Schizosaccharomyces pombe: one gene and its partner. The protein of the gene in region 1 interacts with the protein of each later gene in a pairwise test. Each region holds a gene or a part of one and is shown on either strand. Other genes may lie near its edges.

Region 1 (4,626 bases):
AAATGTTTTTAAACAAATACAGATAATGGATAATTTTAATTCATTAGATTTATCCAATTGTTAAAAAAAATAATTGTAAAATTAACAAGACAACTAAAACAATGGAATAACAATGTTTAGTATCTTTTTATTTAATGCATCCCAGCCGTGTATATTTCGAGGTTAAGGACCTAAATTCGACGCGACAGTGAATTAAGAAATTTCAAAAAAGCTCTATAATTTCGTGAAACATAATTAAGAAAAAAATTGGTTAAGTTTAATTTCCTACTTGAGCAAATAGATGTTCATGCTCGAGCTCCTAGCTACACTCTTCATCACATACATAACCACCAACACGGGGGTTTTCGATAATTTCTGACATGGCGTCAATGGTACTCGCGGATGGTATGCCTACAGTTAAAGATGATTCCACTAGAAGCAGGGGTTCCGACGTTGATTCTTTCACATCTACAGATAATGTAACGCAAATAAATGTTGAGGCAGCCATTTCAGAAAACAAGAATGAAGAAAAACCCATTCAGGATAATTCTGAACAAGAGGTAATCAATTATTTAAAATTCCTTTACTAATATTTAGTTCAATCCGCACGTTAGTATAATCCAGCGTCAGTTGAACGGATACGTTGGATTCGCTAGTCTTCCTAATCAATGGCATCGTCGTTGTGTTCGTCAAGGTTTTAATTTCAACGTATTAGTATTAGGGGAAAGCGGTTCAGGGAAATCTACACTTGTGAATACGCTATTGAATAGAGATGTTTACCCACCGACCCAGAAATCTTTAACTGGGGATTTTGGAGTGAACCCAGAACCCACTGTTATGATCAACTCTTCTGCAGTTGAAATAGTGGAAAATGGTATCAGTCTTCAATTAAATGTAATTGATACACCCGGTTTTGGCGATTTTATTGACAACACCGATTGTTGGCAACCAGTTTTGACAGATATCGAGGGTCGCTATGATCAATATCTTGAGCTTGAAAAGCACAATCCTCGATCTACTATTCAAGATCCAAGAGTTCATGCTTGTATATTTTTTATTCAGCCTACTGGTCATGCTATAAGTGCTATGGAGCTTCGAGTTATGTTGGCTTTGCACGAGAAAGTAAATATTATACCCATCATTGCGAAAGCCGATACACTAACGGATGATGAACTTAACTTTACGAAGGAAATGGTAAGCCCTAATCTTGATTTAAAGTTGCTAATGAAAAAATGATAGATTTTGAGAGATATCCAATACCACAATATCAGAATTTTCTTCCCTCCGACATATGAGACCGATGATCCTGAATCAGTGGCAGAAAATGCAGACATCATGAGTAGAATACCTTTTGCTATAATTGCTTCTAATACATTCGTGGTCAACAATGAAGGAAAGCGCGTCCGCGGGAGGCGGTACCCATGGGGCGTTGTTGAAGTCGATAATGAAGAGCATTCTGATTTCCCTAAGCTTCGTGAAATGCTTATTCGAACACACTTAGAAGAACTCAAAGAACAGACAAATAAGCTGTATGAAGCGTATCGTACTGAACGGTTGCTTAGCAGCGGAATATCACAAGATCACTCCGTTTTTCGTGAAGTCAACCCTAGTGCTAAACTCGAAGAGGAGCGTGCCTTACACGAAGAGAAATTGATGAAAATGGAAGCAGAAATGAAAACCATTTTTTCTCAGAAGGTTCAAGAAAAAGAAGATCGTCTTAAACAATCTGAAAACGAGTTACGTACCCGTCATCGCGAAATGAAGGCAGCATTGGAGAAGCAAAAAGCTGACTTAATTGATCACAAAAATCGGTTAATGCAAGCTAAAGCTGCGGCCGAAAATGAGAAGAGTAAAAGGAAGTTTTTTAAATAGTCTCCTTACTAGCTGATATTTATTTGTATGACACCGCAGTTCTACTGCTATCTCCTTCTTTGTTATTTAATTACTACTTAAAGTCCAATATTGGGCTGTATATCTTTCCTTGATTATTCTACCATATGGAGTCGTTAATTTTTATCGAAATTTTCTTTTTTAGGAGGTTCACTAATTGACATTTTGCTTGAACAAACAAATTGAAACAGCCGGCTTATCTCTATTCAACCCGTTAAAGTGGGAGTTTGCTTCTTTTATTGCCAGTGTATTTTTCAATCTATCGAAAAATATCTATTTTCCAGTCAGTGGGGGTATTTAGACAGCTAGATTTCAGTTGAAAGAGTCGAAAAAATTTTGATGCATATATTATTAGAAGAGATTTGCTTGCGACGTCGTTTTTAGACTTTAGTTTTTGCATAATTTTTGTTCGGTTAAACGAAAAACACTGTTGCAATTGATACCTTCTCGGTGTTATAGAATAGTAAATATGAGATTTGTTGTAAGTCATTCAATACAAAGATCGGTTTGATGCTAAATACGTTTACTTGCTTGAATACTATTTACCACTGTACAAAATGTTTATTTCGAACGATAAATTTAGCGGGGTATTAGAACAAAGTTACTTGGCCAATTTGAAATATTTGAAGGATCATTATGAGCTTCTCTTTCTTTGTAAGTATTAGTAAATAAATGAAATTTATATTTACATATATGCCACCAGTATCTTTAATTGTAAAAAATGTTGATACTCAAGTTTCTTTATTATTATTTGAACGGTGACTTATATAATGATACATAGCGATTAGTAAAAAAGGTAGCAACCTCTACATATTTCATTAATTTGATGAAGGTCAATGTAGTTAATAACTCATAACGTTTTTTTAAGTACTTTAATTAATGATCCCAAAAATCGCTAGCAGAAACAAAATCATTAGAGCGTTTTGAAGTGTTAGCTCAGGCTGACTATGACTTTAAGGGATCACCATTTTTATAATGTAACATACACCGCATATCGATTGTCTCCTTTGTTTGGGTTTGAATATTCAAACTTGACTGAAATAGGTAAAAAGCTTACGAGATTTCTTCGCTATGGTACTGATCGTACTGGTTACTTTACAAATAGTACTAGGTTTGCTGACTTGATAATTGAGAAAGCTACGTTTACGGAGTTCGGAAACACATCTAGTTTCCCTAAATTTTTAAAGCTGGATATTTCGTATGAGACGTCTAGTGATTTAGAGGTGAAACGCAAAGGCCAGATGTTTTTCTTCGAGTCATTTCGGAAGTTCTCCCACGCGGAGGCTGACAGAACACGTTTATCGCTTGAAGGGAATTCTGTATTCTTTTCATTAGCTCTTGTTCGTATGGATGGGGCGCTATGGATGGCCGTTGAGCAGTTCCTCCAGCAGGAATTTGATACACAAATTTTACCATGCCTAATTGCTCCAGAAATACTTTTAGAGTTTTTGAAAATTTGGCAAAATCATGTAAATAGTCAAACAGCCCTCCCGCTTGAGTTGACCTGGACAACCGGAAATCCTAATCTTTCATCAGTCACAATTTCCATAAGACCTGAAGATTTAAAAAAAATTTTCCGTAGCTCCTCATTTTTCTACCCAATTCTTATGGAACATATCAAAAGGTGTACTTCTTTAGATTTGACAAACTCAGTATTCTCACTTTCCAAAGTGAACACTGATTGTGCCATTCTAACATCGTCCGGCAAGCTGAAAATCTTTTCTAAAGCTCAAAATATTGTATTTGATGTTTTGTTAGCCCTTGAGCCCATGCAATTGCCCGAGTATTAATGAATTATAAGGGTTTAAGTTTGTCACTATGCGTTGAGCCTCTTTCCTTCATGCCAGCTTTACATTTATGTCAAAGAAATGATACACTTGCTCCTAAATACGTGAATGCAAATTGACTGATCAGTTTGCCGTTATATTTATATTTAGCACTAAAAATACCATTAAGTTAAAATTATGTTAAACTAGAATAATAATATTTTGGTAGTATTTTTTTTTTAAAATTACATAATAGTTAACTACAGTATCCTCCATAATAAATTTGTGTACTACAAAATCGGTTTAGTAAGAACTGGTCAAGAACACTTATAACCTCTACATTGTTCGTTCACCAGCTTAACAATACAAGTTCAACAAATGTACAAATATTATATATATTTGAAATATGGATTATTAACTTAAAATTTTTAGCACTCCAATATTATACAACCGAAACCGATTTTTATTGTATCCATGCAAGATCACAAAACATCAACTCAAAAGATTCAAATTATACCCGCTTTTTGTTTTTTTTACTAGTAACCACTTTAAACGCCGAATTCCATTCAGTACCTTGCTTTGGCTTGTTACGAACAACCTGACTCCAAGCACCACTAGAGTTACCCAACTCTGATTGAGACTTATTGTTAGATTGTTGCCCATCTTTGCCAGTTAAATCGGCTATACGACGGCGAGTAAACTCACTAGCAAAGCGACGTCCATCCATAATAGTACTATTAGCATAAATGGAATCCGAGATAATCTCAAAAGTTTCAACATTATTTTCAGCTGGCAAAGAAAGTAACATATCGAGAAATTCTTCGTAATTAACACCTTCATTCAAACCTTTCAAAGAAATCTTGCACCATGCTAAAAAGTCCGGCGAATGACCCGACATTGACACAACTTGTTGTAATTTTGATGAAGTAGATGCTTGAGAATTACCAGCATTTAATGTAGCCGAAACTTTAGAGGGAGAACGAGTCGTTTG
Region 2 (5,718 bases), on another chromosome or scaffold:
ACTGAGCTCCATTTTGATATTTGAACGTCATTACAAAAATAAATATTATTTTGGTGTGTAAGCGTTAGCCCCAAACGATCTTCTCCAACGCTTTTTTCAGAATTAAGCAATTGAGGGAGCATAGACTCTACTTTTTTACAACGTCCGTCCTTCCAGTTAGATTGCCTTCGAAACAATCCTTTCCAATTCCTTCGTTTTTTTTCAATGCGACCATGTCGTCGTAAATGCTTAGTCCCAAATTCTGAGAGATATAAATTATGCCATACCTGTATGAAGGTCGTTAGTACATGGAAATCAGTCTCTCAAAACATGAAAATTCGACTATATCACTAAAAAGTCAAGAAGAACATACCGATGAACGGCGCACAATTGAATTCCAACTACGAGATACACGTTCTAAAGCAGCTAAGTCATGTGCAGACAAATCATTAAGAACGTGAAGGAGGGTTTCATGGCTGAAAATCGACGCAGGGTTTTTAGCCTTCACATCGGTAGTCATGTTGGATAAAATCAAAATTGCAATTGTTCATGAAAAAATATTTCACAAGCGGAAACCGAGGTTCTATATAAAATTGGAATGACAAATTGTATTATAGAGACATACTAGTTTCGTTTGTATCTCCAAGTTGACTTAGTTGTTGTAGGAAGTGAGACTATCAGGGTAACGGTCACCTAGCTTACCAAATGTCATTTCGTTTACAAAACTTACCACCATTTAATGTATTTAAAATATCTACACATAAAGATCTCTTTTAATTACATTCCTTGACGACTTTACTCTCCAGTTAAAATTTTTAATCATGATATTTGGGTACATTAATAAATTGTCAATTTTGAATGTGAACCCGTTTTCCAAAGCTAGTCAATCTGCGAAACTTTTGCTAGCAGTTGCCAGTAAAGAAACCAGCAACTCTCTTTATGGACTTAATCTCATTACCAGTCTTGCATCAAAGGATACCAATTCAAAACCATCTGTTGAAGTTGTATACAGTAAGGCTTTTAAGTAGCTAGATGGTTTAACTGCGACCGTTAGATTTGACTTTTGCTAATAATTATTATTTAGAGGATGGAAAAAAGTTGACTGTTGATCCGACAAAAATGAATATTGGTAGGCTAACTGAATTAATTGACGATTACAGTAAAACGCTTAAATTTAAGGAAATGATGCAAAAATAAGTTTAGAAAAAATGACTTTATTAATATGATTAAATTGATAACAGATAATTAAATTACATAACGACTAAATGACTTTTGTACATCGAAATCCATAACACACTATTAGTATTGTCATCGTTCGTTTGGAAAATCCCCTATTCCCCTTCTTTTATTTTCCAAGGTGTCGGTCGCATGGGTATAATAAAGTCGAACAGCTTCTTTGCCGATATTTTTTATGCTGTAATAATTCCCTAAAGCAATGTTAGTCAAAACACATTCTCGGTGTATAATTCCTGTTTGAATTTTTAGAAATGTGTATATTTAAACTTACCCCTTGGAACAATAAATACTCCATCTTTTTTCATTCGAAAAGTGGTTGCATTTACTGTGACCTCGATCTTTCCCTGTAGTATACAAAAAGACATTATGTTGTGTTTCGAAGGCTTCACTGGTTTTTCTGCTCCTGCTGGCATTTCAACGACGCCAGCAGCAAAAGATGGCTCCTCCTTGAACAAGCTGGCAAATTTTAGTTGTTGATTAGAGATTTGCTGGAGATTTACAGAAGGCAATGAATAGCCGACTACTCGTTCTTCAGAGGCTTTTGGGTTTTGTTCATTCCAAGATAGAACTTCACAGTTTATTTCGTCTTTGTAAAAAGCATCATATTCTTCAACATCATTCGATTTTGCTTCCAAGTTACTTTTTATTTCAACTCCTGAGCGCTTTGCATGCCTTTTCTTGCGACCTTGACGAATTGAAGGTGATGGATCGTCAACTCGGATTATCTGCTTTACTTCCGGTAGTGCTGGAATTCGATTTTCATCTCTATGTAATTCATATACAACACGCTCATTCTTCCAAAATGCTAGTGGTGCTATTCGTGTACGTTTCGACCTTCGGACACCAACTAGTGTATCTTCACGTTCGACCTGTTTAATTTCCTGTAAATTATTTCGAGCAATTGTTTTAATAAATTCTCCAGAAGCTGAATCTGATTGTGAATTCAATGAGTCATCCTTCTCGTTGGACATCTTCTTCGCGTTTCTAATTGCAGGTTTCTTTGCGCCTTTAACTTGTGTAGCCTCACTAGTTTGAACAGAATTGCCGATTTCTAATTTGTTCTTACGAGGTCGACCACGTTTTCTCTTGACTACTGGATTTGACTCCCCTTCTTTAACAGAATTTATGCTTGATTCTTGTAAAGGTTTATTAGGTGTTCTTTTCTTATTCTTTTGAGAATTGTTTGCTAGGCTTCGATTAAGCATAGAAAGCGGGACATCGATAGAAAGTTCGGAATCTTCATCTCTAGAATTTGGTTTGTTGCCCTGGGATATTGTTTTCTTTTCCTCTTTTTGCTTATTCTGTTTAGAAGGCTTAATCGTCTGTTCTGACTTATTATTTTGAACATAACTTCTACGGGGTTTTGAAATGGTTTGTATATAAAGATTATCGCGACCACCACTATCCTTGATACTAGTAAAATTCGCTACATTTTTTTGTAAAGCAGTAATATTTTCATCGGGGAATGCAGGCGATTCTTGAACGTTATCATCCTTGGGCGTAGAGGATGGTATTTTGGAAGGAAGTTCGGTACTTCTTCGAGGTTCGAATTTTTTTCTATCTGGAGATGCTTTTATCCTAGAAAAATCGACAATTCGATTTGCTTTTCTTGGCTGAATTGATAATTTGTTGCCATCGACTTTCGTCTTATCAGCGGTTCCTTCATCTTCCGCTTGAAAAGCTGAGTGATCTATAGGTACTGTATGTATAATTAGTAATTTTATCAATGAAATGAAACGGAAAGTAACAGTAGAGTATTTGAGGAGTTGTAAAATAAAAATCTGTGATGCGTAGATAGAACCTTACCAATTAAAGGACCAGACGAACCACGGCTAGCCCGAAGAGCTCTCGAATTCATCAACAATGGTGAAGAAGGAATATCCGGGTTTTTATCACTAGAGTCAGAAGATGAGGCATGAGAAGCTTCATCAGAAGCAGCATTGACTGCCATTGGAGACGTAGGTTGAAGTCTTGTTACTGGCGGCATATCCTGCTCAATGTCTCCATTATCTTCGTCCAAATGGATGGAACCGTCGGAAAGAAAATAAGCATCCATATCCTCGAATCCATCATCGCCTTTTTTAACGTCTCTGGGAACTGTGAATCCTGTTTTTCTAGATAAAAATATTTTTTAGTAAATTTATTAAAAAAAGAATAATTATTACGATATATGGAACCCAATTCGCGAACGTACCTGCCTACGACACCAATTTCAAAAAACTGATTCTCTCGTTGTCTTGCCGGAATAGCAGACGTTTCATTCATCGTCATTATTCTATTAAATAAACATTAAGTAAAAATATAGCCTAAATAGCCAAACAAAACAATATATGGGGACGTAAGTGTTGTCTTTCTTGTTTACGTGTAGTACAGGATGTACATTATGTGTCATGGAATAAGCCTATCAATCAGACCCATGCGAAAAGGCAAGGTGTATTCATTTTTGCTTCCAGTATAACTAACCAATACATATAAACTTAATTGCCTAAGCGCTTTTCTGTTTTTCTGAATGCATTTTATAGTTATATAATGTTAGGCAAACAAATACGAAATTGCGTTGGAAATGAAACTTACTAGTGCTGACAGCGTAGATTACGGTAAACAGAAACAAACATGCCTCCTTAGAATGAAGGTCAGAAAGGGAATTCCAGAGAAGAAATGAACCCTACCTAGAAGCATATTAAGTAGCCGCTACCAAGGGATGAACCCAAATAGTGGAAAAGACGGATTGAGCAATTGACATTCAAAAAAACGGCCTACCGCAATAACAATTTAAGAGATTAAAAATAGATTTATCATTTTTTATAATTTTTTTATTTTTGGGATTTCTTCTGGCTTGGCCATCCAATTGATGATTGTTTATTAACTTACGATTATATTAGTGCTAAACCACCATTATTTATTACAGTCGGTGTTATTAAGCGTATTGCTGACGAGATTTTTTTTCTTGTATGAATCCAAATTTGCGATGCTACGCCTTGACTGTTTTCTTTTTTTCACCATAGTATGTGAAAATTTTCTGATGCCGAAATCTCAGCAATGGTGAAATTTTGCCAAAAAAGGGGTCAATTGATCTTGAATAGGGCTGAAAAAAAAATTCAAAAGTAAATAAAATTAAATATATTTATTTACAAAAAGTTAAGTCGGTTTGGTTTTTCGCTTCTCTTTTTACAAAATTTTTTATTATTTTATTATTTATTTATTAATTTTATATCTAGCAGATCAATATTTAGCAAGCCACCCCGTACAATAATTAAAATAGCTCTTTTCATGACATAGTAAGAAGACTAAAGTGCGAAACATGTTCAATTAACGCCAAGAAAATGCTTCCGTTTACGCCTCCTTCAACCATACCCGAATTTTTTACTCAAAATTTATGTACGTACTTTTGGCTGTATTACAAGAATCCATAGCTAACCTCTGTAAAAGGATATCACCTTATACACAAAGGCTAGGTTATCCTGCTACCACTATAAAGAAAATGAAAGTTCCCATAATGAAGTCTGTATTTTGAATGTATATTGTCACTTTATTTCGCCTACAACCTTCACGCGAACTCAGCAAAAAAGGGAAAACCCTATTTTACAGCGGCTTCAAATCAGGTCCTTATTAGTGCGACCAATTGGCCTTTCTTCCTTAAAATGGCGATTGCCGTTTAAGGAATATCACTAGAAGCCGTTAGCAGCTATTATTTAAATTGGTAGTTTCAACAAGTAAATCGAAGAAGGCATATCTCTTTATACTTTGAGTGGCAACTCAAGAAATTGTTAAAATTAGCTGTTAAAAATTTGCCATAAATATAGAGAGTGAATGTCGTTTTGTTTACTAACAGTAGTACTCATGTACTCTAATCTAAATAGCTGTTTATTTCCAAAAAAAATAGTTTTATAGCTTATTATTCGTAATAATTAGTATTCAACCTTAGATTTGTAATATGCGCTCCGTTGCAAATGCAAAAAGATACTATTAGAGAAGAGCCGATTTTTTAAATTCTCGATGCCGCTGGATCATTTCCACTGTCTGTCTCATTATTTATTCTGTTTTTTTATATGATTCGATTTTATTTGTCTTTTTCATTTATAGCATTGGTCGATTGAAATCAAAATTTGCATTTTTTGTATTCCATTCGGGTTGCCGCCAATGTGTGCCCCTAGTGTGTGCCCCTAGTGTGTCAGGTAAATAACAGCAGTCGAGACAGCGCAATAACCATTGCTTTACAGAAATGAGTAGTAAATCTGTAATAATCTTTGAACTCTTGATTGAAACATTTTTAATTTATTGCCTCTATTTTTTAATGCAATCCCGTTCCATCTTTCCTCTAGCAATTTCTCGATCTATCCAAAAGATATAGGGAGATTGAAGGTGTCCTAATGTGCGATTACGTATCCCTCATCGGTAAACGGCGCACGACTCCGTTTACCGACAGTCGTTAAGTACCTTGATTCAGCGAGTGCTACGGTAACAACGGGTTAAAGGTATCATCTTGTTATCTGAGTCGGATGG

What was found.
Region 2: the proteins of fta1 (region 1) and cnp3 interact in a two-hybrid assay, tested with the Schizosaccharomyces pombe proteins (one study listed by BioGRID).

Annotation. Positions count from the first base shown.
Region 1 is NC_003424.3:4,852,727-4,857,352, forward strand, and holds fta1 (kinetochore protein fta1), read left to right. Parts: upstream 1-2,667; 5' UTR 2,668-2,816; coding exon 2,817-3,659; 3' UTR 3,660-3,880; downstream 3,881-4,626. Other genes in the region: mitotic septin Spn1, read left to right, coding at 360-539, 577-1,173, 1,219-1,851; mpd2 (GYF domain protein), read right to left, coding at 4,147-4,626. UniProt on the Schizosaccharomyces pombe protein: Component of the kinetochore, a multiprotein complex that assembles on centromeric DNA and attaches chromosomes to spindle microtubules, mediating chromosome segregation and sister chromatid segregation during meiosis and mitosis.
Region 2 is NC_003423.3:4,125,083-4,130,800, forward strand, and holds cnp3 (centromere protein), read right to left. Parts: upstream 3,585-5,718; 5' UTR 3,487-3,584; coding exon 3,410-3,486; exon of another isoform or gene 3,330-3,409; coding exon 3,022-3,329; intron 2,915-3,021; coding exon 1,487-2,914; intron 1,407-1,486; coding exon 1,288-1,406; 3' UTR 1,236-1,287; downstream 1-1,235. Other genes in the region: F-box protein Pof12, read right to left, coding at 1-266, 353-499; mrpl44 (mitochondrial 54S ribosomal protein mL53), read left to right, coding at 801-990, 1,064-1,176.